Neurospora crassa OR74A: one gene and its partners. The protein of the gene in region 4 interacts with the protein of the main gene of each other region in a biochemical or structural test. Links are inferred from orthologs where the notes say so. Each region holds a gene or a part of one and is shown on either strand. Other genes may lie near its edges. The genes, in order: gul-1, NCU03137, NCU04637 and mdk-1.

Region 1 (5,936 bases), on a different chromosome or scaffold from region 4:
TGGATGCGCTGCTGCTTGACAATCCCAGTCACCCGTCACGATTGCCGGACAGGTGGTACACTGGGGAAATTTTCAGGCAGATATATCGCTGCTTGGTTAAAAAAAAAATTGGGTGATGTTAAGGTGATCGTCCGGTGTTGTGTTCGGCTTGACAGTTGCGGAAGGGTACTATGGACACTATCAATTGGAGTTGTACTTTGCGCGCGTCGCGAGTCCAATAGCACTAAGTCCACTCCATGGGTGCGGTTTTAGTATGGCGGCATCCGTCTGTCTTGGTATCTTTACACACTGTGTGTGGTTAGGTGCAGTGGTCCTTGCAGCCGCTTTTGGTGGGGGAGAACGGATGGAAGTGGCACCTTTCTATAAACCAACCTGAAATCTAGCCTTGATGTATTGTTGGCAACAAAAACCTACCTACCTGTGTAGATATCACAAAGCGGCTTTGGCATCTATAACCCAAATTTAGATGTCTGCTCCTGCTGTGTTACGCTGAAATATCTCCAGGTCCTCGGGCGTCCGTATAAATTACAAAGTGATGGGAACAGTCAAGAGAAAGGGCTTCGGAGGTACAGCTCTTTGAAGTCGCCATTGTATGTACTTACGAAGCTAAGCTAAGGCAACGTGCTATTGACATCTCAAACGAACTTTAATGCAGGATGTGTGATGAATCAAGGATTCATCTTTTCATCGCAAGTTACTGCATAGGTATTACTTTGATCCATTGGTGCTGTGGACAGCAAATATCGTCAAGAAGGTCAGCTTGTGGTCTTTGTATATGGCAGATAGCAACTCCATTAGTTCCCGCAGGTATCCGTGTCTCTCTTCTCTTCAACCTCTTTTACGAATCGTACCGTCATCCAAAGACACAGACCCCCAAAGCCTGCCGGAGCTTCTGACACGGGAGACACGGCTGTCGTCTTGCAGTATGCGGTGTACTCGCGTCGATCCAGGGTTTAGGGTATCACCATCACCATTGACGTCTTCCCTGTTACGCCGGCAAGGCCAGTCCATATTCCCCAGGTGATGCCGGGCACATCATGATATGGGTTGGCGATCCTCTTTCCGACCACCGTTGAGTTTCCCCGAGAGAAACGTTCGAGCACGTATCTTCGAGTACATCTCGAGTTTGTCGTCCCTGTCCCTGTGCAGACACATTCGTGACAGGGAAGCATCGCCCAGCATACGCCATGTTTGAGATATCCTGAATCTAAACTAAATGAGGTATGGGGTAAAGACGATTAGCGGGAGTGTCCACTTCTGCCATTTGTGATTTTCCCGAGTCTGCTGAGGAACCGTTTCCCCACTGGCATCGTTGATTGGTGTAGGTAGTGTAGCTTCCCCCGGATGCTCCTGTCGCGGTCCTCGACTCTTCGAAGCTCTTGGCTATTGAACAGAAACTCCAGAAGTAGGTATGCAGTGGATGTCATGAGTGCAGATTTCCTTTTGAACAAAGGCCAGGAAGAAAAGACGGTTTTATAAAAGGGGCTCAAAGGTTACTTCATTCAGTAGTAGTTGGGTTGTAAGTGGAAGGGAAGAGGAGCACGGTGTGTCGCGCACATGGGGTATCCGGTGCACCACCCTCACACCCTGCGTGCTTGCACCTATCCTGGCGCTACTAACGGTAGCCCACCACTTCAGCCAACTGCCCAGCACCGCCGCTGATAGGTGCAACTGAAACCGTAAGAGATGCCTGCCGTGAACCCGGACCTTCCATGCTCCGCCGCCGCACCGTGTACACCTGCAGCATGCGCCTCCAAGGAGGGACGGACCTCACTCACCTCAGCAGGACGGACTGCCAGGCGGGCGGGCACCATCCTGTCCCGTCGTTTCCCTCTCACGCATCAGTTCGTCACTAGCATGTAGTCTAGGTGAGGTAGGTACCTCTAGGTAGATACTCTAGGTACAACCTAGCCAGCCCAGGATGCCCGCCGAAGGATGGACCTTTCGGGTTCCTCTCGCTGACTGCCGCTGCGGCGCTGAAAGTGCTCTGCTCCTCCTCCTCCTCCTCCTCTCAGGTCCAAGGCCCAGTCCTCCTGACTTCCTATAGCACCGAACCTCTTTCTCCCGTCCTCCGACTCCTCCTCCTCCTGCACTCTCCCTTTCCCCTTCCCTCCTCACGAACCTCAATCCGCATCGGCTTCAGGCTTCCCTCTAGCTTCAACGTCAACTAGCAAAGCCGGACACCTCCCTCCCTTCTCTCTACACTCCCTCGTAGCAACTTTTCAATCTCTCATTATAACCTCTTTGGACTTGATTTCTTTCATCCAATCCGCTTTAACTGCGAAACAAAACTGTCCTTTGGGGCGACGTCTCCGCACCGCAACCAAACATACCGCAACTCCCATCGCATCTGATGCATCGCAACGGCAATCCGGCCACACAAAAAAGATAAACCCAGCTCAATAACCTTCCCCCTCGTCTCTGTTCGGTCGACCACGCCTCGATTCGATTCGACTCGACTCGACTCGACTCGTCTCGTGCTCTACTTTACTACTTCTTCACACGCTTTAGGTCCAACGCCGACTTCGCCTTGCATTCGCACTCGACGTGCACGTTTTCTGCCTGGATCACCCGAGTCATCTGCACCTGTCCGTCCCAACAACCTGCATCATGGATCAGCAACAGCAGCCTCAAGGAGGCGTCTCTGGCCCCGCCGGCCGACGGCTCCATATCGCCCATCGAAGAAGCCCGTCGGAGCTGACCCCGTTGATGAGTATGTTTTCAAACACGAACAGTATGTTTTGAGTTTTGCTATTGTCATCGCCATTGCCATCGTGTACTATCGCGGCGCCCCTCTACCGCTCTTGCACTGGTCCGTTCTTGTTCGTGGCGAAAAGCTTCAAAAGCCAATGATCGTACCCCTGACCCCGTCGCGTTCCCGTCTTGTGTCCTGACTGTAACCCCTCATCCCCCTCTTCAATGCGCTGGCGTACTGACTGGATCTTTTTTTCGGTGCAGTGGAACAGCTTGCCATCCAGCAGCAGATCGAACTCCTTCAGCAGCAGCAACAGCAGATTACAGCTCAATATGCCAACCTCGGCATGCTTCCGGCCACGCAACCCCTGGGCCCTGGCGGATTCACCAACTTCCAGCCCATTGCCGGTTTGGCGCCTCAGGCGGGCTTCCAGTTCCCGGTCCAGCTGCAGCAGCAGCCGCCCCTAGCTCCTCCTACACAACCGCTTTCACATCGCCGTAATCAGTCGGCCATTCCAAACATGGGCATGGGGGGCCCGCCGCCTGCTCCCTCTGCCGGCGCCTCTGGTTCGACGTTCGGCAACTTCCAAGATCCCACCCAGGGTCACGCCCGAGAGAACAGCACCGGCGGTCGTGGTGGTCGGGGTGGATCCGGCGGCGGTCATCAGAGAAGACATTCCTTGGCCTTGGCTGATGCCAAGAAGGCCGCCGAGATCGCCCAACAGAAGCGCACGACGTCTACCTTCCAGTTCCCTGCTGCTCCTGCCCCTGGCTCCTCCGAGAAGTCTGAGGATGATGCCAAGACCACCCCGAGCACCACTCCTGCTCCGGCGGAGGGCCAGATAGCTCAGGGATCGTCGTTCCGTGGCGGTCGTGGCGGCCATGGCAGGAGCCAGAGTATGGCTGTTGGTGCCAATGGCCGTGGTGGCCGCGGAGGCCATTTCTCTACCGACTCCGTGGGCCAAGGCAGCGACTTTTCCCGCCGCGCTCCTGGTAGCGGCCATGCCCGCACTGGTTCCCGCAACTTCGACGGCAACTGGAGGAACCAGAACCAGAACCAGAACCAGAACCAGGCTCAGGACCAGACCGCTGCCCTTCCTCAGAGCCAGGGCTTCCAGCCCGGTCACCGCAGCCGCGGCTCGGTGAGCCAGTCCATCTCTTCGATTGGATCCTTCCAGTATCCTGGACAGCCTCAGCTGGTTCAGTTCCCCGGTCAGATGATGATGCCCCAGGTTTTCCCTGGCCAACAACTCAATCCGATGCAGCTCAACCAGCTTCAGGCTCTTCAGCTTGCTCAGATGAATGGTCAGCCACTTACCGGTCTTGCCGCCAGCCAGCACGCTCCTCAAATGGCTGCTCCTGGTCAGCAAAGCCAGCAACAGCAGCGCAAGACGCTTTTCACTCCTTACCTTCCCCAAGCTACTCTTCCTGCCCTCTTGGGTAACGGCCAGCTTGTTTCTGGTATTCTTCGCGTGAACAAGAAGAACAGAAGCGATGCGTACGTCTCGACGCAGGATGGCCTGCTTCCCGCCGATATCTTCATCTGCGGCAGCAAGGATCGCAACCGTGCTCTCGAAGGTGATCTCGTTGCGGTCGAGCTGTTGGATGTTGGTGAAGTGTGGGCGCAGAAGCGCGAGAAGGAAGAAAAGAAGAAGCGCAAGGATATTACCGACACTCGTTCTGGCTCCATTAGTGGAGGCCAAAATACTGGTGACGACAATGGCAACGCTGAGGGGGGACTCCGCCGCCGTGGCAGCCTCAGACAGCGTCCTACCCAAAAGAAGAACGACGACGTGGAAGTTGAAGGTCAAAGTCTTCTTTTGGTTGAGGAAGAGGAGATCAATGATGAGCAGCAGCCTCTCTTTGCTGGTCACATTGTTGCTGTTATTGAGCGTGTTCCCGGCCAAATGTTTTCTGGTACCCTTGGTCTGCTCCGCCCGAGCAGTCAGGCTACGAAGGAGAAGCAGGAAGCTGAACGCGCTGCGAGAGACGGTGGCAATGGCCGCCAACAAGACTCGCGCTCCCACGAGAAGCCCAAGATTGTTTGGTTCAAGCCCACGGACAAGCGTGTTCCTCTGATTGCCATTCCTACCGAGCAAGCACCCAAGGACTTCGTGGAGAAGCACCAGGACTATGCGGACCAGATCTTCGTGGCTTGTATCAAGCGCTGGCCCATCACTTCTCTGCATCCGTTTGGTACCCTCGTTGAGAAGCTGGGCAAAATGGGTGATCTTAAGGTTGAGACCGATGCCCTCCTTCGTGACAACAACTTCGCGTCCGACGAGTTTGCTGAGGCTGTTTTGCGCAACGTCAGCCAGCAAGACTGGTCGCTTGAAAGTGAGGATCAAGCTGCTCTTGCCGCTCGCCGTGACTTCCGTGGCGAGAATGTGTTCACTGTTGAATTAGATAGCTCTGTCGAGCTTGGCAACGGTGTTCATTTCAAGCAGTTGCCTGACGGCAAGATCGAAATTGGTATTCACGTTCCCGATGTCGCCCACTTCGTCAAGCCCGGCTCACTCGTTGACCGTGAAGCTAAGAAGCGCGGTACTGCGGTCCATCTTGTCAACCGCTTCTGTGCCCTTCTCCCCCCCAAGCTGTCGAGCGAGCTTTGCACCCTCACTCCTGAACAGGATCGCTTGACTTTTAGCGTTGTGTTCCACGTCAACCCCCAGACTGGCGCGGTGGCCGAAGGCGACACCTGGATTGGAAAGGGTATCGTCAAGAGCGGCGGGAAGGTGTCGCTCAGCGAGATCGATGAAGCCATTTCCGGTAGCAGCGGATTCTCCCATCCATCTGTGAAGGCCCTGGACATCCAGATTCTCAACGCTGTCGCCCAGAAGTTCCGTGAAGCTCGCTTGGGCGCCGGTGGCGAACCCATTGCGCCTCTCCGTCTCCTCCAGCAACTTGATGATGAGAACATCCCGCCTAAGCACAACATTTTCGAGTCTAGCCAGGCCACTGAACTTGTCGAAGAGCTTATGCACAAGGCCAACACCCATGTTGCCCAACGTCTGGCGCAGGGACTCCCGGAGAAAGCCCTTCTGCGCAGGCAGTCTGCTCCTAACTCCCGCCGCCTACAAACTATCATTGACCGTATGACTGCTTTGGGCTACGACATTGACGCTACTAGCAGTGGTACCCTACAGAATAGCTTGTTCAAGATTGACGACTCTGACATCAGAAAGGGTATGGAGACCCTCCTCGTCAAGTCTATGCAGCGCGCCAAGTACTTCATTGCGGGC
Region 2 (6,129 bases), on a different chromosome or scaffold from region 4:
ATTCTAGGAGTAGTGATGTAATAAACTGGCACCGTAAATGTCAAGTACATTGTATTTCCCTTCCAGTTGCGCCGCGCTATGCAATGTGAGGAAATCGCCCAAGGATCACCTCTCTTCCATCCCTTTTCCTCCTCCTCCTCCTCCTCCTCCTCCGCCTTTCCTCGGGTGTGTGTTATTCTATCGCTGTTAGAAGTTTCAAATAGCATCTTCCCTCTTCATGGTAACGATATTTGATCACAAACCCTCTTCTCGTGTTACATACTTCTTCTAGCTCACTTCCTTCTCAACAGTAAGATCCTTAATCCCAGTGATAATTTCAGCATCTGCATCTGGCTCAATCACCTTGGGCGAAACCGATGAGCTTGAGCTGTCCCTGGACTGCTGCTCAACCGGCACTTGCAATTGAGCTTCAGTTGGTTCCCTCTTCCTCTCCTGCTCCTTCATTGCCTGTTCGAGATCGGCAGCAGCACGTCTGAGCCCTTCCTCTTCCTCGGCGCCGAGTCCTCCGTCTTCCTCCTCTTCGTTGTCCACCTCTTCTTCTTCAACTATTTTTTTTCCCTCGGCGTCCTCGTCGTCAGTGATTACTCCATCCGCATCTGCATCCACATACACGCTGTCCAGCATAGCCGAATCAACCATATGCTCGGGCGCAGCCTCCTCATCATATTCTCCCTCCTCTTCCTCACCATCCTCTCCATCATCCTCGCCATCATCCTCTGCATCATAATCCCCATCCTCACTTGCCACGCTTCCTTCCTCGTAATCATCCACCGAGTTTCTCGAGATGTAGCTGTCCACAAGACCGTCGCCAACTTCTTCCTCGTCATCCTCCTCGTACTCACTTTCATGATCATCGACAACAGCCGGAGCAGATGTCTTTCGGCCACCGCTGCGCTCGTCCTCGGTGTCACTGGCAGAGAACTCGTCAAGATCCAAAGGCTGGTCTCGCCAATACTTGAAATCCGTATAATCCTCGCCACCGCCTTTGATGAGCGTGGTGACAGGTGGGAAGTAATGGTCGACAACCTCGGTCATGTTGACGTAACTCAGCTTGAGTTTGTTGAGACTCAGCAAATCGAGTGACACCTCTGCATTAGAGTTGATGGTGAAGATACGGTTACGGGGCACGTCGACCGTGCGATACGAGATTTGGTCCGTGAAACGGTTGCCGAACCCGGCGTAAAACGGTGTGCGATCGGGCCCGTAGAGGTTGCGGATGTCACGAAGCGTGGACATCTTGAAGATATGTGGTTTGCGGAGATAGATCTCGCGACGGAGAGCCGCCATGGTTCGGTCGGGTGAGAGAATGGTAGGTCCGCGTGGGAGACGGTACCCGTCTTGAACGATACCTGCGAGGTAAGTTCGTGTAGTGTCGGCCTGGCCGACAGACCGACTCGTCAGATACATTATGTTGTACCCGTTGGCTACAATATCAGTATACAGCTTGGCTACACCAGCATGCGTCCAGTCGCGCCCGATCATGTTCAGCACGTGGCCAAGCGCATCAGACTTTGTAATGGTTCCATCAATATCCGAGATGACCACGGGTACCTCGTGCTTCCATAAAAACATGTAAGCCTGGCAGGTAGCTTTGTTCACGGTGAAGCTCATTGAGTTCTCGCCGGGCTTCAGATTCAAGGCCTTCAACTGGTCGCTAGTCAACCTCAAGGTCTTTGCGTAGTTCCGATTGGGATCGCCCGCTGCCGAACTGCCGGGAGAGCTTGGGGGTGTCTGCAGGGTCATCTGGCCGACATCAGAGTCAGCTCTCCTGTGGATCGGTAGAGTCGTGGCGGCTGAGGTATCGCTAGCATCGCTCTGATACCCAGGGTCAGAAGCCGCATCAATGTTGCCCATGTGAGATGCAGAGCGTAGGGGGTCCATCGTCCTCTTCATGGCGGCCTCCTTCGCCTCGATGCTGCTGTAGATCCAAAGGTTTCCATGCTCGTCAACGCCAAAAAGTGCGCCGATGTCGTAGTTGCCATCAAGCTCCTCCGTGAGAATCTTGCGCGCAAGGATCTCAGCCCGGAAGGCGTCTTCCTCATTGTTTTTGAACGCAGTCATATCTAACATGAGGTCTCCGGTCTCGCTGATGTGGTTAGGGATATTGGCGGCGGCGAGCTCTCGGGAGAGGTTCATTGCCCTTTGAAGAGCTTCGGGTGCTGTAAGCGGCGGCGGGCTGCGGGATCTTTCGGTGTGGCTATCGCCTTCTTCTGAACCTTCGTGGGTGCTGCCATCGCTTGGCATTCTTCGCGCTGACTGCCGCAGAAGGCCATCGCTATGTGGGCGAAACGGAGACCATTCACCCTTGATAGGATCTGGTGATACGGAACGAGGTGTGAGCAACCCTTATAACCCATGCTTGTCAGTATATGTCGATCATGGCGGCGTGGAAGCTGGACACAGCGCTTACCGTCTCGTGCTAGTAGAGCAGTGGGAGGAGGCCTGTGGTTGAAGCTCGAAGAACGGGTTTTGCCTTCTACCGAGTTCAGATCGAGTGATTCAGGTTCTTGTAGAGGCCCTGACTGGTCGGCATTGAGCGGGGGGCTAGAGGCGGGCGACACGATGGGCGACGTCTGCATGCTCTGAGGGATGGTGTCTGTAGTTTCGAAGACGAAGAAGGCCTCGCCTCCCTCGCCCAGCTTCATGGCATAGTCCTGCTTGACGCCATTGACCCTGAATTCGACCTTTTTTTCGGATGGGCGCAACAGCGAGAACTTGCCAAAACGCACGTGAAAGGGAGAGCATGCAAGGGTGCCATCTTCCTGCTCAACGACTATCACGTCGATGGCACCGCTGAGGGTCGCAGGGTTGATGGAGTTCCAGGCGGTAGAGACAGAGTCGCCGAGACTCCTGACGTACTGCATGGTAGGCAATCGCAACTCGTTCTGTCGTCGAGAAGGATGTGTCCCTCTTGATGGTCAAAGGGGAAAGGGAGGGGGTATTTGTTGGTTATGTCGGTATATGGGGGGGCAGTCAAATGGCAAGGCTACATGCGGTCTGGACGGTTATGTAATGTCGACCGCAATCTCGATTCTCGACTTCGAGTAGGCGACCGGTAGGCGACCGGTAGGGGTTCTCTAGTGTGTTGGGCGAGGTCGGGAAGGCCGGATGAACGCCCGATATGCGTAGGGAGATATTAGGCTCTGACCACCCGGCCTCAATTGCTCTGTCGTCTCGAATGGATGGTTACTCAACGTGGTGTGCGTGAGTGAATCCGACTCGTTCACTTCCCGTCTGGTGGTGCGAGTATGCCGGGAGAAAAGTATTGAGGAATGCGCCGTGTTGGGGGACTTTGCCCAGTGAATGCGGATCTGATGACGAACGTCTGCCGCGGTTCAAGCAGTGAAAGACAAGGAAGGTAGCAACCCAAGTGGGATGCTGGGCTTGGGGAGTGGATTGATTATGCGCAGTACGGTAAAACACTGTGTGAAAAGTCCGAAGGGGGCGTTCAAACCCTTTCTTCAGAATCATATGCTTCGAACTAAGGAACCAAAATCTGCACGACAATTGAAGAGCTCGTGTTGTAGAAACTTTGTGTTTTTTTGGGGCATGGCGAACGGATCGCGATCCGCCGAGTAGAACTAAAAGGGAAGGAACTAAGGAACCGGCTAGGTTGTTCGTTGTGCAGTCCAACCTATACTGGTACGAAAGTTAGCTCGAGACCTCGGGTCAACCTCCCCGTGGGTTTTCAAGCGGCGATTATGCTTCTTCCGAGCTAAATTACACCGTATTGAATTTTATGGATGCCGTTTGGATCTATATCCAGCCATTCATTTAGTCCTTAACAGGTTGGAGACATCTCGGAAGACATTTCATTCAGTGTTCTACGAGTGAGTGCCTAGGTACCAAGTTAACAACAAACCAGTAGAACTACCAGACAATACGTAGGTAGGTATCCACCTCTACATACCCGGTGAGGCGGAATGAGAAACGGGATCATCCCCAACGCCCAACCTTCCAGAATCACGAGGGCGGTTCCCTTCTCAACAATCAGATCTAATTCTGTCTTGATGAGTTCGGCCTCTTGTCAGGGCAGCAGACAGGCACAAGACTGCATTTGCACCGGCTGTTCCCCATCATCAACCCACGCGCACTTTACCGACTTGGTGCAAGTCTCTAGCGATACCCTGTAAGACGGCAATATAGTCATTTACCAGCCTGGTACCTCGGCGGTCTGCAACGAGCTAACACGGCTGGCCAATCCAACCGCACAAATTGGTGTCATAAGCGGTCACGGGGATGTTTGTTATGCTGGACTACCAGGTACCCTTCAAGTTCCCCTGATGTCCTGCTGACTGACACTGACACCGCGAGTTTGAAAATGGAACTTTTTCGTATTCTCACCTTGTCAGTCTCGTTTGACTGACGTTTATTAAGTGATCCAACGAGCCGTCAACAAGCGGTTGTCGTTGTGAAAAAAAAAAGAAGCAGTCGCTCGCTGAGTGTCCATTGTCTGTTCCCGGCGGTATTGCAGCCGTCTACTCTGAAGGTAGCTGGGTTGAGATATGCCGTGAACGTCAACTCTCGCTGTGTATCCCGGGTTTCTATCGGCTTACGGGTACACCTGGTGACACCAAACTGTGCCCAAGGGGCGAGACAAGATACATACACTATCTACAAAGGTGCGAGGCCTCTGGGGATACCACGGCTTATCCAGCGCCTTTTTTCTTCATCCCGCATACAGTACAAGGCAGAGCCTTACCCCAGCTGCCTGGAAGACGTGTAGTACCGTAAGGGGTTATGGACGGCAATCTTAGCCTGAGCGTATTGCCCGGTGCTGAGGATCAGTACGTCCTCAGTCCTTGGGGGTCGGTGGTGATATTTGTTGGGAAATCCGGAGGCGTAACGGATCGATTTGATGAGTAGAGCCCTATCCCCAAGCAAAAATGGTGTGATGCTTTATAGTTAGTTGCCTTCCAGCTAAAGGCAGGCTACAACATATGTATAAAGTAAGTAAGCATAGTGTTTTGAGAGGCACCTTTCACGGCCAGATCATCTTCTCAATGGGATTTAGTGAAGATGGCAGGCTGATCCGGAGATCCGTCCGAGGCAACGGACTTTGTATTTCAGTCTTGTGCAAGTCGCCACCCGGCTTACATAGTACTTGCAGTGACGGGAACGGTAGGAAATCTCAGGATAGGTAAACAAGAGTAAACTATCAGCAGACTCTCTTGGGCCTTTGAAAGAACGAGAATATTATAGGTTAGATTGCGCAGCCTCTTACAAGCATTCCACTCAAGCTGCTATGTATTCTCAAACTTGGGGGAAAGCCTACATACCGGTATCAGAGGCCAAGACAGTTCTTTCCCGATCGCATGCTTAGCAGTTCTGGCCCAGGACGGGAGCTACCTTTTTGCGCCCATATGGAACCCTCTGGGATATCACCCGAGCGTTTGCAAATTGAACAAAGACCCCTTCAATGATCTTGGTTTCACTTCCTGATCCAGACCCGATTGTTCGCGACTAACAAAAAGTGGTACCATGACAGAACGGCACGGCGGTGTTCTTGTCCACCATCTAAAGCGAAAAGAGGACTGTCGTACACGTAACATCCCGCGAGCATTCGGGTAAATCCTTCTCTCCCGCTTCCACACACCAGTCCTTCTTCAAGCGAGCAACATCGACTGGGCAAGCTGGGGAATAATAGCGGGGAAGATGAGCAGGCGGCTGGCGGGGTTGGGATAGGCGCATCATCGCGAACGTCCATTCCATCGTGGGCTTTCGGTTGCGGGGATCCTGGAGGGCGGGGGAGCATCAAAAACTGTGAAGGATCGGAGTTAGGAGGCAAGTAGAAATGCTGGCGATTGTCTGGAGTTACCGTCCCTTGATCTGATCGGCTTTGAAGTCAAGTGGAAGTGCGCCGCATGGCCTGATGTCTATGTACGATGTTTCAGCATGTACCAGCCCATGGACTGTTAAGAGTTCCCTCAGATACTAATGTATTGCACTAACAGACACTTATCCACTTCCCCAGAGACAATGCAGGGGACGTCAGGATGTGGATACCCACTGCAAGAGAGAAAATCCTTTTTGCAGGGAAAGCACAGCCGGACAGCCTGCTCTGCTGCTGCTGCTGCTGCTGCCACCGTCCGCCCGCCGAGCGCTGTGAGGTGGCTCATGATGCCCCCT
Region 3 (5,806 bases), on a different chromosome or scaffold from region 4:
AAGAGGGACTCACCCTCGACATAGGCGAAAGAAACGTTCACGCAGCCGGGGTAGAAGTGGTTGGGATCACCGTTCTGGCTGGTGTGCTCCATGGAGAGCAGACCGTTGAGAAGACGGTCGGAAAGGTGCTTGATGCGCTTGGAGTCGTACTGTTGTAACAGTTAGCGCCCATCCTTGAACGAGAGATGCATTAAATGTGGGATATGGAAGAATCATGATCAGAGAAGTTGCTGTCTATCAACAAGGAGTCCTTGTCACGGGACTTCAGAAAGCCATGCATGTGTAAAGCGACTCATCATAAAAGGGGCAAAGGAAGACAAAAGAGACTGTAACATACCGGCATTTCTTCCTTGGCGATGCGGCACGCCTCTCCGAAGCCGACAACGAGCGGAGGAGCGAGCGTGCCGCTGCGAAGACCTCTCTCCTGACCACCACCGCTGATAATGGGGTCCAGTCTGACTCTTGGCCGACGACGGACGTAGCATGCACCAATGCCCTTGGGGCCGTAAATCTTGTGGGAGGAGATGGACATCAAGTCAATGTTCATGGCGTTAACGTCAACGGGGATCTTGCCAACAGCCTGGGCAGCGTCGGTGTGGAAGAAGATCTTCTTGGACCGGCAAAGCTTGCCGATTTCCTCGAGGGGTTGGATGACACCAATTTCGTTGTTGACAGCCATGATACTGACGATGGCGGTGTCGGGACGGATGGCAGCCTCCAGCTCCGCCATGTCGATCAGGCCGCTGCTCTTCACTGGGAGATAGGTCACTTCGAAACCCTCGTCCTGGAGATGCCTGCAGCTGTCGAGGACACACTTGTGTTCTGTCTGGCTGGTGATGATGTGCTTCTTCTTGCCGGACCGGCCAAAGAACCTAGCGACGCCCTTGATACTCATGTTGTTGCTTTCGGTGGCACCGCTGGTGAAGATGATTTCCTTGGGGTCAGCGCCAATCAGATCAGCAATGTGTTTCCTCGCCTCTTCAACGGCCTTGTCAGTCTCCCAGCCGTAGGCATGTGTCCTCGAGTGGGGGTTGCCATAGACGTTGGTGAAGTAGGGCATCATGGCATCGAGCACTCTGGGGTCGATGGGGGTTGTGGCCTGCATATCCAGGTAGATGGGACGCTGTCCCTCATCCATCACGGTAGCATTGCTGAGAACATCTAGTTGAGTCAGCAACGAGGACGACTGCGCAATATGTCTCCGAAGAGGTGGGAGGTGATGATGATGCTTACCAGCCATGGGGCTGACGTGTTGGCTCGAGCCATTTTGCGCGCTTATAGTGAGGCCCTGCTTCTCCATCTCCCTGTGATCCAGCTTGATAGCATGCTCGGCCTGCACGTCGGCGTTGTTCCTCTTGGTCTCGGTCACATAGCTCCTGGAAGCAGAAGCAGTCTTGACAGCAGCCGCAGTAGTCGCCCGCGACAGCACACGCGCGCTGCGGAGAGGAGCGGCCGCGGCCAAGCGCGATGCCTGTCGCAAGACGGACGGCGCAATGGTGGACATGGTAAAAGGAAGAAGAAAGAAGGAGAGGAAAAGAGAATATGGTGGTGAGGGTGATGGCGGATGAGGGAGAAAAAGTTCGTTTTGTAACCAAACCTACAAAAACGGATGGAGGCAGCGGGCGGGGCGGCTCAAAACACACTCAGAAATTCAGATGGAGCTGCCGCCTCCCGCTCTTCGGCGGTCGGAGTGGAATTTCCGCCATACAGAAAAGAACAAATCGAAACAAACGGCATCCGCACGCGGACTTGGCCTCGGAGGGGTCGGTGATAAAGGAATGTGCCAATGAGGGGCGACAACCAACAAGGTTTGGCACTTTGATTGGTCATTCTGCCATCGGATGGCCCCACCTGTTTCTTTCTCGGACATCGGACAAGCGCGTATGTACGTACGGCGAAAATGACGCTGCTCCAAAATGTTAGAGAATGGGCCGCCGGGCATGACGGAAACTGAACGCTCGATGTGCACCGCGGCGACTGACTTGACAAATACAGTGCGGAATGTCCACTTGTGAAACGGACTCCGCGGACGCATCTGATCCATCATTGCACAGAAAGGAAGAGCACTGACCCGGGGCAGGCATCCATCTGTTCTCTCAATCGGCATGTCCACTGGGATGAAAGCTACACTACAGCGGGCCCCAGACCCAGTCGGTCTACCCCGTCGTTCCAATTCGTTCCTTTCCGGGGTCTCATCGACCAAAAGCAGAACAACCGATGACGGTACCTATTTACCTCCTCGGTAGTATTCTGTTTCCATTCGCATTGGATGTCTGCGTTGGACTATAACTTGAACCATCAGTGACATGCCATATAACCGCCGACAACCTACTTGAATTCCATTTACACTGCTAAACTATTTAGTAGCATCTTACCTCTAGGACAGCTACCTCTAGCTACTTTACCTCCTACCGTTGAAGACCGAATCCTCCCCGAGGAAGTTTGTCGGACCTCGAACGGAACTGCTGACAAGGGTCCGACCGACGGGATTCAAGAACAAACCGAAATCACAAGACGCCTAGACAAAAAGACTTTTCACACTACATCTTGGAACGAGGTCGCTGTGTGCGGCGTGTCCAACATTCAGCAAATAGCAGCGCCACGCAAACCGTCGCAAGCTTCGCTCAGCCAAGACTTCGTCCACCAGCCAAACGACCTGCACCGCCCCCCTGCCCACCCCCAGCGTCATCACCATCGTATCCGGATCCGACTTGAAGAGGGCACTCGACCACCGATTGCCTTCAACCTCTCCGAACAGCAACCCGCTTTGCGCATCTCCATACAAACACCGAATACACATCAGACATCATACGGCTTCGTAGCAGAATATGAGCTTCAGGGGCTTCCAAAAAAGCGTGGTCCGCGTAGGTTCTGCCCCGCATACCTAGTTGATCTCACCTCCCCTAGTTTCGGTTACAGCGTCATCATCACTTCCGCCCTTCCCGTCGAGTCCCCCGTCTGTGGCAGAAATAGCGCCGAATCACTCGGGTTGGCAAACAGGCACTAACACGACAGAAACCAGGCACCACAACAATTCAAGCAAAAGTTTAACCTCGGCGAGCATACCAAAGACCCTGTCTACATCGACTCGGAGCGCAGATTCCAGGAGCTCGAAACCGAGACCAAACGCCTTCACGATGAAAGCAAAAAGTACTTTGAGGCCATCAATGGCATGCTGCAACACCAAATCGAGTTCTCAAAGGCAATGACCGAAATCTACAAGCCCATCAGCGGCCGCATGTCCGATCCCGATTCGCTCGTTCCCCATGGCAACTATGAGGGTATTGCCGCCTGCGAGGAGTACGAGGCCGTTGTCAAGGACCTGCAGGAAACACTGGCGCCAGAGTTGGAAATGATTGAGGCTAGGGTTATTCGGCCAGCGAACGAGCTCCTCGATGTGATCAAGGTCATTCGCAAAACGGCCGTGAAGCGCGAGCACAAGAAGCTGGACTACGACAGACACCGCGCCACCCTCAAGAAGCTCCAGGACAAGAAAGACCGGTCGGCAAAGGACGAGAAGGCCATGTGGAAGGCTGAGAACGAAGTTGAGCAGGCCACGCAAGAGTACAATTACTTCAACGATCTGCTTAAGGACGAGCTACCCAAGCTGTTTGCCCTCGAACGCCAGTTCATTCAGCCGCTTTTCCAGTCCTTCTACTACATGCAGCTCAACATCTTCTACACCTTGCACGAGAAGATGCAGCACTGCGACATTGGCTACTTCGACCTGACCCTGGACATTGAGGAGGCCTTTTACGCGAAGCGAGGTGACGTCCAGGAGCGGGCTGAGGCTCTCTCCATTGTCAAGTTCAAGACCACGGGTATGAAGCGACCGCCCAAGTACCAACGTCCAGGCGCTCTCGAAGGAAACAAGCCAGCAGGCCTACTTACAGCTGGCTCCTCCACGACCACTTCCACCGGTCCGCCTGAGGCGGCTCCCTCAGTCACAGCCCCACGCCCCTGGGAACAGCAACAACAAGCTCCTGCCGTCACAGCACCGCGACCTTGGGAAACCCAGGCGGAAACAGTAGAAGCGCATGCGCCGCCACCGTATTCGGTGAAGCCGAGCACGCTACATGCTACGCCCGCCTCCTACGCCGCTCCAGTTGCCAGCCCGAAACCCTCGTCGTTGTCCATGGCGGCGGCTGCAAAGGCCAAGCCCCCACCGCCGAAGCCCAAGCCCAAGGCCCTCATGGCGGCGGCACCCAAAGTAGAGACCGTCACAGCGCTTTACGACTACTCGGCGCAGGCGGAGGGCGATCTGAGCTTCCGTGCCGGTGATGTGATTGAGATAGTAACAAGGACTGCGAACGAGAATGAGTGGTGGATTGGAAAGTTGCATGGAAAGCAGGGTCAATTCCCAGGTACGTACTGTACTATTTCTTAGGGTGCTTGCTTTGTTGCGAGCTGGATATGTTCTGACACAATGGTCTTTTGCTAGGAAACTATGTCCAGTTAAACAGCTAGAGGATACAAGGCTACTTGTAAATGTAGTTATCAAAGAGTTGCTTTCAGCACACTTCACTTCTCAGCACGACTTCAACCTATACCCCTTTTTTGTGGACCCGTTCATGGTCGAGTTATTCATTTGCAACCACAACACGGATTCTTTCTAGTTCGTCTACATCGTACCAGGCCGTGACGTTCTGTAGCAGGGCCTTGGTGATCCTATACGGATGCAATGATATGCGGCAGGTGACTCTGTTGAGAATAGTCAGGCAGGAGGAAACTCCGTCGCGAAGGAGGACCTGCGAGGAGCGTGGAGCGAGAGGGTCCCGGGTGTTTGCGTCTAGGGAAATGGCGGGTGTATTGTTTTGGAGCGAAGGAAGCAACGGAGTGAAAAGGTCACAGTGCATTGGGTCAAACCTGGAAGTTTTGATTAGATGCGTTTTGCCATGATCGCCGTCGTGGTTTGTTCCCTTTAGGTTAGGTACTTGCCCGCGCGTCAAGCTTCCTCAGGTGAAGCTAATTTCTAATTTTGTTAACGCAACGACCACGCAGCTCAGCTTGAATCTAGTGTCACCAACAACCGCTTGCCTTGTCAAAACTACCTGGCTCGGCTTCACCTCCTGGCTCGACTCCAAGGATTCAGGTTTTTTTTTGGGAGGAAAGAAAGATGTGTATCATATCTGCTACTCATCTACAGGTAGGTATCACTGAAAGCCATGGCAAGTGTACTGGAGGGTCCTTATTGGAAATACCGATGTTGAACGATGGCCTCCAGCTAAGATGCAATGCTTCGGTGCCCTGGATAGCGAGGTCCTCTGGTTTAGCTTCAAGTGAGAGACATGCACCTGCCTTGTTGTACAAGACTAAGGCTAACAGAAGCTTCCAATAATGCGCCAAGCAACCCAGCTGTATGCTCCTCCCTCCAATTCTCCATGAGTCCCTCCGTGGCTGTGAAGCAAGACAGGGAGTCACAATCTCCAGTATGTCGGGCAAACCCAGATCTATGGGCTTTTAATTCCCCTCTTCTCACTTGCACACAAACTCTTCTTCCTCTTCTCACAAACACCACCACTACCACCAAGCGCAGCGTAACTCGCAGACTCCAGGCAATCTTTTGGCCGCCATTTTTTGGGTATCGTCTCTCTATTTGTCTTGCGGTTCGCAGTATTATGTCATCTCTTCTCCCCTGGCCTCTTTCTTCGTGTTGATACACTTCAAGCGTTTTTATTTGGAACGAAGGAAATCTTGCACTAAAAGAAAGAAAACACCCCCGGCTACCAATCCCCTTCCGCAAGACCACTCTCGACAGCCTGTCTGAATCAGTCCCATCAATTTGCGTTGGACTTGCCTGGCCTTA
Region 4 (5,856 bases):
AAAGTAAAAACTTCATTATAAATATAATCGAACTATATAAATAAATAAGTAATTCCATTAATTTAAAAGGCAACCGCAATAATAGCTTCAATACTATTCCAACTAAGCGTAGTAGGATTTAGGAACTCATTATTAACAAAATTCTATATTAAAAAAACAAGAATTTTAAAATAAAATATATTATAAAGGAATCTCAATCTATAATAGAATTCGGTCTTAAATTATTTTACCTTTTTAACCCTCCTAAGGCCGTAAGTATCCTACTCTATAAGAGGCTAAAAGTACCGAAAAATTAAATTAACAAAATTTATTTTAATATAGAAGAATACAGAGATAGAGATTATCTACTATTTACAATCGTATACGCTCTATACCTCTAATTATACTAATATAATCTTACAAATATATAATATTGTTTTCTAATTACTATAAATAAAGAAAAATTTATTACTAAACTACATTTAATCTATATTAAATAGGTCGAGAAATAATCTATTATACAAATAATAAATACCGGCGAATTTACCCTCATTTTTATTAATAGCAGGCGTTTAAAGAATATAACTTTTAGGTATACAATATTATTTAACCCTAAGGAAGCAATAAGCAGGAAGAGAGCCCTATTCGCTAATAAATAGAAAAAGGGACTTTAATTTCTCTATAACCAAATAATTTATAGTAGGGCAAAATAATTATAACGTTTATATAAGAGCTAGAATAATCCAATACGGTTGGAAGGGAATAGTAGGCCGAAATTAATTAGGTCGGAATAGGCCTTAAACATTAGGACTACCTATTAGTAAATAAATTATAAAGTTACATATTACATCCTATCGGCCAATACTTAAACCCTAAACTATATCTAAATAATTATAATTATTATATATAATAATAAGAGTAAGGTTAGAAACAATATATTTAAAATTAGTTTAAAAGTATTAATATAAATTATAAGATAAATAATCGACAGTACTAACTATTATAAAAATTATAAGAGTTTTAATTATTACTATAATCCTAATATAAAATATATAAATACTAAAAGTAGATAAGGTATTTTAAATACGCCTAGCAACGCCGTTAATATATAAATATAAATCTATAATTTACAAAAAGAAATCGGATTTGCCAAGGGCGACAATATATATAATAATAATTAAAATTATATATATTATAAGCGAAATATAATTACTATAACGAACTTATAGTCCCTACGTTTTCTTATAAGCGCAGGTATACTATATTAAACCTGTAAGAAACAAATATAATTTAGGCGTATATTTAAGTAAATTATTAATATATTATTTAATAATTAATATAATCTATTATATATTATACAAATCTATAATATTATATAATTAGTCCCCCTATAGAACGGAAGAAGCACTAAACTTTATAAAAAATAAGAATAGGTTAATATATTTAAGGAAAAATATTAATTCCCAATAAAAGCTCTTTATATTATATAAATTACTTTTATTACTAAAATATATTGTAATACTATTATAATAGAAAATTTCGTATATATAATTATTATATAGCGTATTAACGAATTACCTAATATAGGATTCCGATAGCTAGTTATTACTTCGAATTATCTTAACCCAACTACAAATAAAAGGTTTTAATATCCCCCTAGAATATAAATATACTTAATACTTTTAAATAAAATAAGCGAAGTATTAATCCTAATTAGTAACGCTTAAATTACTTTAATCCTATAGTAGTAGGCTATATTTAATTAGGTTCAGGAAGGTTGGAGGGCCGCGGTAAAGGGTCGGAATTAAAACCCCGGGGTTTAAATACATACAAATCGAATATATTATTATAATTAGAATATTCGGGAGAATACTAAATTTAAACAAGAGGAAGGGTAAATTAAATACAAATATAAAAAGGTTATTAAATAAAATTAGAACGGCCGTTTCCTAGAACGAATAGTAAATTATATCGAATAAATTAAGCGTCGTAGGTCTATATACGTTACTCTAATCGGAATTATAGTAAATAAAAACAAATAAATTACGTATTACGACTTTAGGGGTTTCGCTCTAATTAGAATTACGGAGAATAAAAACAAATATATTACGTATTACGACTTTAGGGGTTTCGTTCTAGTAAAAGTAAATAATTAGAATTAAGGTGTATCTTAACTCTAACTAGAGCAGAGTTCAATTGCAATAGTTGGGCCCCACAGCGGCTGACGGCCGAAATACTCAAAATTGGCTCAGACCTGCTACCGCAGAAACGGGTGGGGTGGGGTGGTTTTGGAGGTTAGTGGGTCTGACTGAGACTACTGCTGTACCTGAGGTCCCCACTGCCCTTCCTGGCGCGCGCCTGACCCAACTGAACCCAAACAACCAACCCAGGGCAACCTTATTTCCCCTTCCATGTCCACGTTTGACCCTTCCACCATCCGTCCTCATTCCGACATCCACGCCCGACCCTTCCACCGCCTGCGAACATCTACCGTACACCATCTCCCATAAAGTCTGAACCGCCTCTCCCATACCGCCTACGATCGCCACTCCCATCTTCACACTGTTCTAGACTTGTTAGATTTATCGGCGCAGAGACTGCTTCAGTGCATCTCTGCTCTCCATCACGGCTTCTCACGGGCGACAGCTGCCTGACCAACAAGACCCAACAGGCGGCGAATCCCCCAATCCCCTGCGCAAGACGGTCACTATTGGCTCTGTACTTTTCAACCGCGCCCATACGACCCAGCGACAACCTTCGCCACATCCTCATTATCTAGTCCAACAGTCCTCCGTTTCTTCAACCACAGCCCAGTCGGATCTATCTTCGGCACTCAGAGAAGCCATGGACGGCAGGAAACACCCAAGTTCTTTCCAGCAGCTTGAAAAGCTGGGAGAGGGTACTTATGCTACTGTAAGAGATCTCTCCTTGGCCCAGAACTGTCCCTCGGTGAACAGGGAGAAGTATTTGTAGGGTGCAAATGGCTGACACTACGTCCTCAGGTCTTCAAAGGCCGCAACCGACAGACGGGCGAGCTTGTAGCTCTCAAGGAGATTCACCTTGACTCGGAAGAGGGGACACCGAGCACGGCAATCCGCGAGATCTCGCTCATGAAAGAACTGAAGCACGAGAACATTGTTGCTCTACACGATGTTATTCACACCGAGAACAAGCTTATGTTGGTGTTTGAGTACATGGATGGCGATCTTAAAAAGTTTATGGACACCAACGGCGAGAGGGGAGCCCTCAAGCCACATGTCATCAAGTCCTTCATGCATCAGTTGCTCAAGGGTATTGACTTCTGCCACAAGAACAGGGTCCTACATCGAGACCTGAAGCCGCAGAACCTCCTTATCAACAGCAAGGGCGCTCTGAAGCTGGGTGATTTCGGTTTGGCGAGAGCATTCGGTATTCCAGTCAACACCTTTTCGAATGAGGTCGTCACTCTTTGGTATCGAGCTCCCGACGTGCTTCTTGGAAGTAGAACCTACAACACCAGCATCGACATTTGGTCCGCGGGATGTATCATGGCTGAGATGTTCACCGGCAGGCCTTTGTTTCCCGGCACCACTAACGAGGATCAGATTGTTCGCATTTTTAGGATAATGGGCACGCCGACGGAACGTACATGGCCTGGCCTCACCTCGTTCCCCGAGTACAAGCCTAACTGGCAAATGTATGCGACACAGAGCCTGTCATCCATCTTACCTCAGATTGACCGCGACGGCATCGACTTGCTTCAGCGGATGCTACAGTTGCGGCCCGAATTGCGAATCTCGGCTCACGATGCGCTTCAACACCACTGGTTCAACGACCTGGTCCACCAACAGCATCATCACCAAGCGCAGCAGTCAATGATGCAACAACCGCCGATGATGCAGCAACAGCCAATGATGCAGCAACATAGAGGCTACGGACAGCCGCAACCCAACTACGAGGGCTACTAGACAGAGTACCTTCCAAAAACCGGAAGGCAGACACCGCCGGTTTTGGGGTTTCCTCCACCAGTTTTGTGGCATCGACCGATGCCAGTAGTGTCAGGATCTCCTCCACCAGGATTCAAGAAGATTTGGGAGCAACTGATGCCAGTAAGAGAGGGCTACTACACCGAAGAGCAGTTTCTAGGAGAGCGAACAATGCCAGGGTATCCTCCACCAGGGAGATATCCTCAACCGATACCCGGACATCCTCCAGCATGGAGAAATTATCCATCAATACCCGGACATCCTCCAGCATGGAAATATTCTCAACCAATGCCCGGGCATCCTCTACGTGGGGAACATCCGCAACCGATGTCATGGTATCCTTCAAACCAACAGGTTCAAATGGGGCATTTATCGAGAGAAAATGGGTTGGTTAACCGTGGCATGGGTTCGACTACAGATCTGTCAATGGCGTGGAAAGGAAATTTCAAGAGTGGCAATTCTAAATTGGACATGTCACGGCGGTCACTGCCCGTGGACCCCAGTCTCAACCCGTTTCAACATGATAATGGACAGCGAAATATAATGGTGCCACACAGGCCCCCAATACAAACAGGTGTAATGGGTGATGGACACCCAAATGCGATGCCGCCGCGATTTCAGTTGCTTCAGTCATCTTTCATGCCTCCGGTCCCCCCTCCTCCACCGGCCTTATCGAGGTTACCGGCGTCACATGAGCCTCGACATAAACAGATTGAATTTCCACGAAGTTTCCAATATTAATTCATGATGTGAATGGTCCCGGACCTAACGCTGGAAAGAGAAGTTCATCTGTTTTCAGTTTGAGAAGCTGCCGCCTGGTTCTCGATCATTCCGGACAAGAACATACGCCGATGTTGCACGTTCCTCAAGCTTTACTCGCGACTGATCACACACGGCGGAAGAGCACAATAAATAAGTAGATGGTAATCTTTGTTATCATGTTTACTTGGGATGGTCATTATCTACAAAACGGGGGCATAGCTGGAGCCTTGAACGAAGATGACGGGAACAGGGTAGCGCACGCCAGAGAAAGGCTTTTGTGCCGTACTTATGCATTTGCCTTTCCTTTAATTAGTAGTTACGATTAGCAGCGAAAGTTTCCATATATGTTGAATTAAAGCGAACATTGGTGATAGTCCTCATTATTCTCATTATTCCCCTATCTGTTTACTAGAGAGTTTAGGGTGTTCTCTCAGTTGGGTTGAATTGTATATTTGCAATTCGAGATAGCACCGTTATACATGAGTTGTGAGAACTGTTGGTGATATGATGTTCGGCTATTATTACGCGGTATATGTACATTGTTTAAACAAGCGAGCTTTTGTCCCAAGCAAAACGGCCTTTCGCGATTGTTGACATTGCTCCTCCTATAGACACAATGACCTTTTTTTTTTTTTTTTTCATGTTCCTTCCAGGTTGTTGGCATGATGCATTAGGTAGGTTCCCCAAAACTCCACGCTGCCCGTTGTTGAAGGTGGAACACCCCGCAAGAGAGTGGGCGGGAGCATCTGGGCTACTACGTATCGATAAGCCTTGATCCCTGGCCGGGCCCAGAGGTGCCTGGACGCCTGGACCTGCTCCACCTGATTTGTTGTAGCCGCAGTGTAACCAGCGCCGGACATGGCGCACTGCGACGGACTTGGACGCTACCAAAGAGTCGGTACTGTTTGGCACTGCCCGAGCTTGATCCATGCCCTGCAACAACCAACCGTACAACAACCCATTCCACTTTCCAACGACAACTCGTTCCTGTGTCTCCTGGCCATCGACAACGCAACTTGTCGCGACAACCAACCGACCAGCCGTCTCTCCATCGACAACCTCGGGCTTTCTACTGCATGCTCTAAACCGCCTTCCCGGGAAACAGTCGCCGCGATGGCTGCCGTGGAGTCACGCAAAGGTATGGCACACC

What was found.
Region 1: of the proteins of mdk-1 (region 4) and gul-1, one has a biochemical effect on the other in vitro, tested with the Saccharomyces cerevisiae proteins (2 studies listed by BioGRID). The link is inferred for Neurospora crassa OR74A from reciprocal best matches to the Saccharomyces cerevisiae genes PHO85 and SSD1.
Region 2: of the proteins of mdk-1 (region 4) and NCU03137, one has a biochemical effect on the other in vitro, tested with the Saccharomyces cerevisiae proteins (9 studies listed by BioGRID). The link is inferred for Neurospora crassa OR74A from reciprocal best matches to the Saccharomyces cerevisiae genes PHO85 and PAH1.
Region 3: of the proteins of mdk-1 (region 4) and NCU04637, one has a biochemical effect on the other in vitro, tested with the Saccharomyces cerevisiae proteins (2 studies listed by BioGRID). The link is inferred for Neurospora crassa OR74A from reciprocal best matches to the Saccharomyces cerevisiae genes PHO85 and RVS167.

The regions. Positions count from the first base shown.
Region 1 is NC_026505.1:3,210,931-3,216,866, reverse strand, and holds the start of gul-1 (cell wall biogenesis protein phosphatase Ssd1), read left to right. Parts: upstream 1-1,984; 5' UTR 1,985-2,610; coding exon 2,611-2,734; intron 2,735-2,958; coding exon 2,959-5,936. UniProt on the Saccharomyces cerevisiae protein: Can suppress the lethality due to deletion of SIT4, and partially the defects due to BCY1 disruption. Is implicated in the control of the cell cycle G1 phase.
Region 2 is NC_026501.1:4,686,180-4,692,308, reverse strand, and holds the start of NCU03137 (nuclear elongation and deformation protein 1), read right to left. Parts: upstream 3,521-6,129; 5' UTR 2,865-3,520; coding exon 2,411-2,864; intron 2,346-2,410; coding exon 268-2,345; 3' UTR 1-267. UniProt on the Saccharomyces cerevisiae protein: Mg(2+)-dependent phosphatidate (PA) phosphatase which catalyzes the dephosphorylation of PA to yield diacylglycerol. Required for de novo lipid synthesis and formation of lipid droplets.
Region 3 is NC_026505.1:1,374,646-1,380,451, reverse strand, and holds NCU04637 (BAR adaptor protein RVS167), read left to right. Parts: upstream 1-2,112; 5' UTR 2,113-2,828; coding exon 2,829-2,864; intron 2,865-3,022; coding exon 3,023-4,364; intron 4,365-4,441; coding exon 4,442-4,467; 3' UTR 4,468-5,212; downstream 5,213-5,806. Other genes in the region: NCU04636 (cysteine desulfurase), read right to left, coding at 1-149, 338-1,161, 1,234-1,504. UniProt on the Saccharomyces cerevisiae protein: Component of a cytoskeletal structure that is required for the formation of endocytic vesicles at the plasma membrane level.
Region 4 is NC_026503.1:4,279,641-4,285,496, forward strand, and holds mdk-1 (cyclin-dependent protein kinase), read left to right. Parts: upstream 1-2,361; 5' UTR 2,362-2,823; coding exon 2,824-2,892; intron 2,893-2,981; coding exon 2,982-3,926; 3' UTR 3,927-5,137; downstream 5,138-5,856. Other genes in the region: NCU07579 (hypothetical protein), read left to right, coding at 5,565-5,844.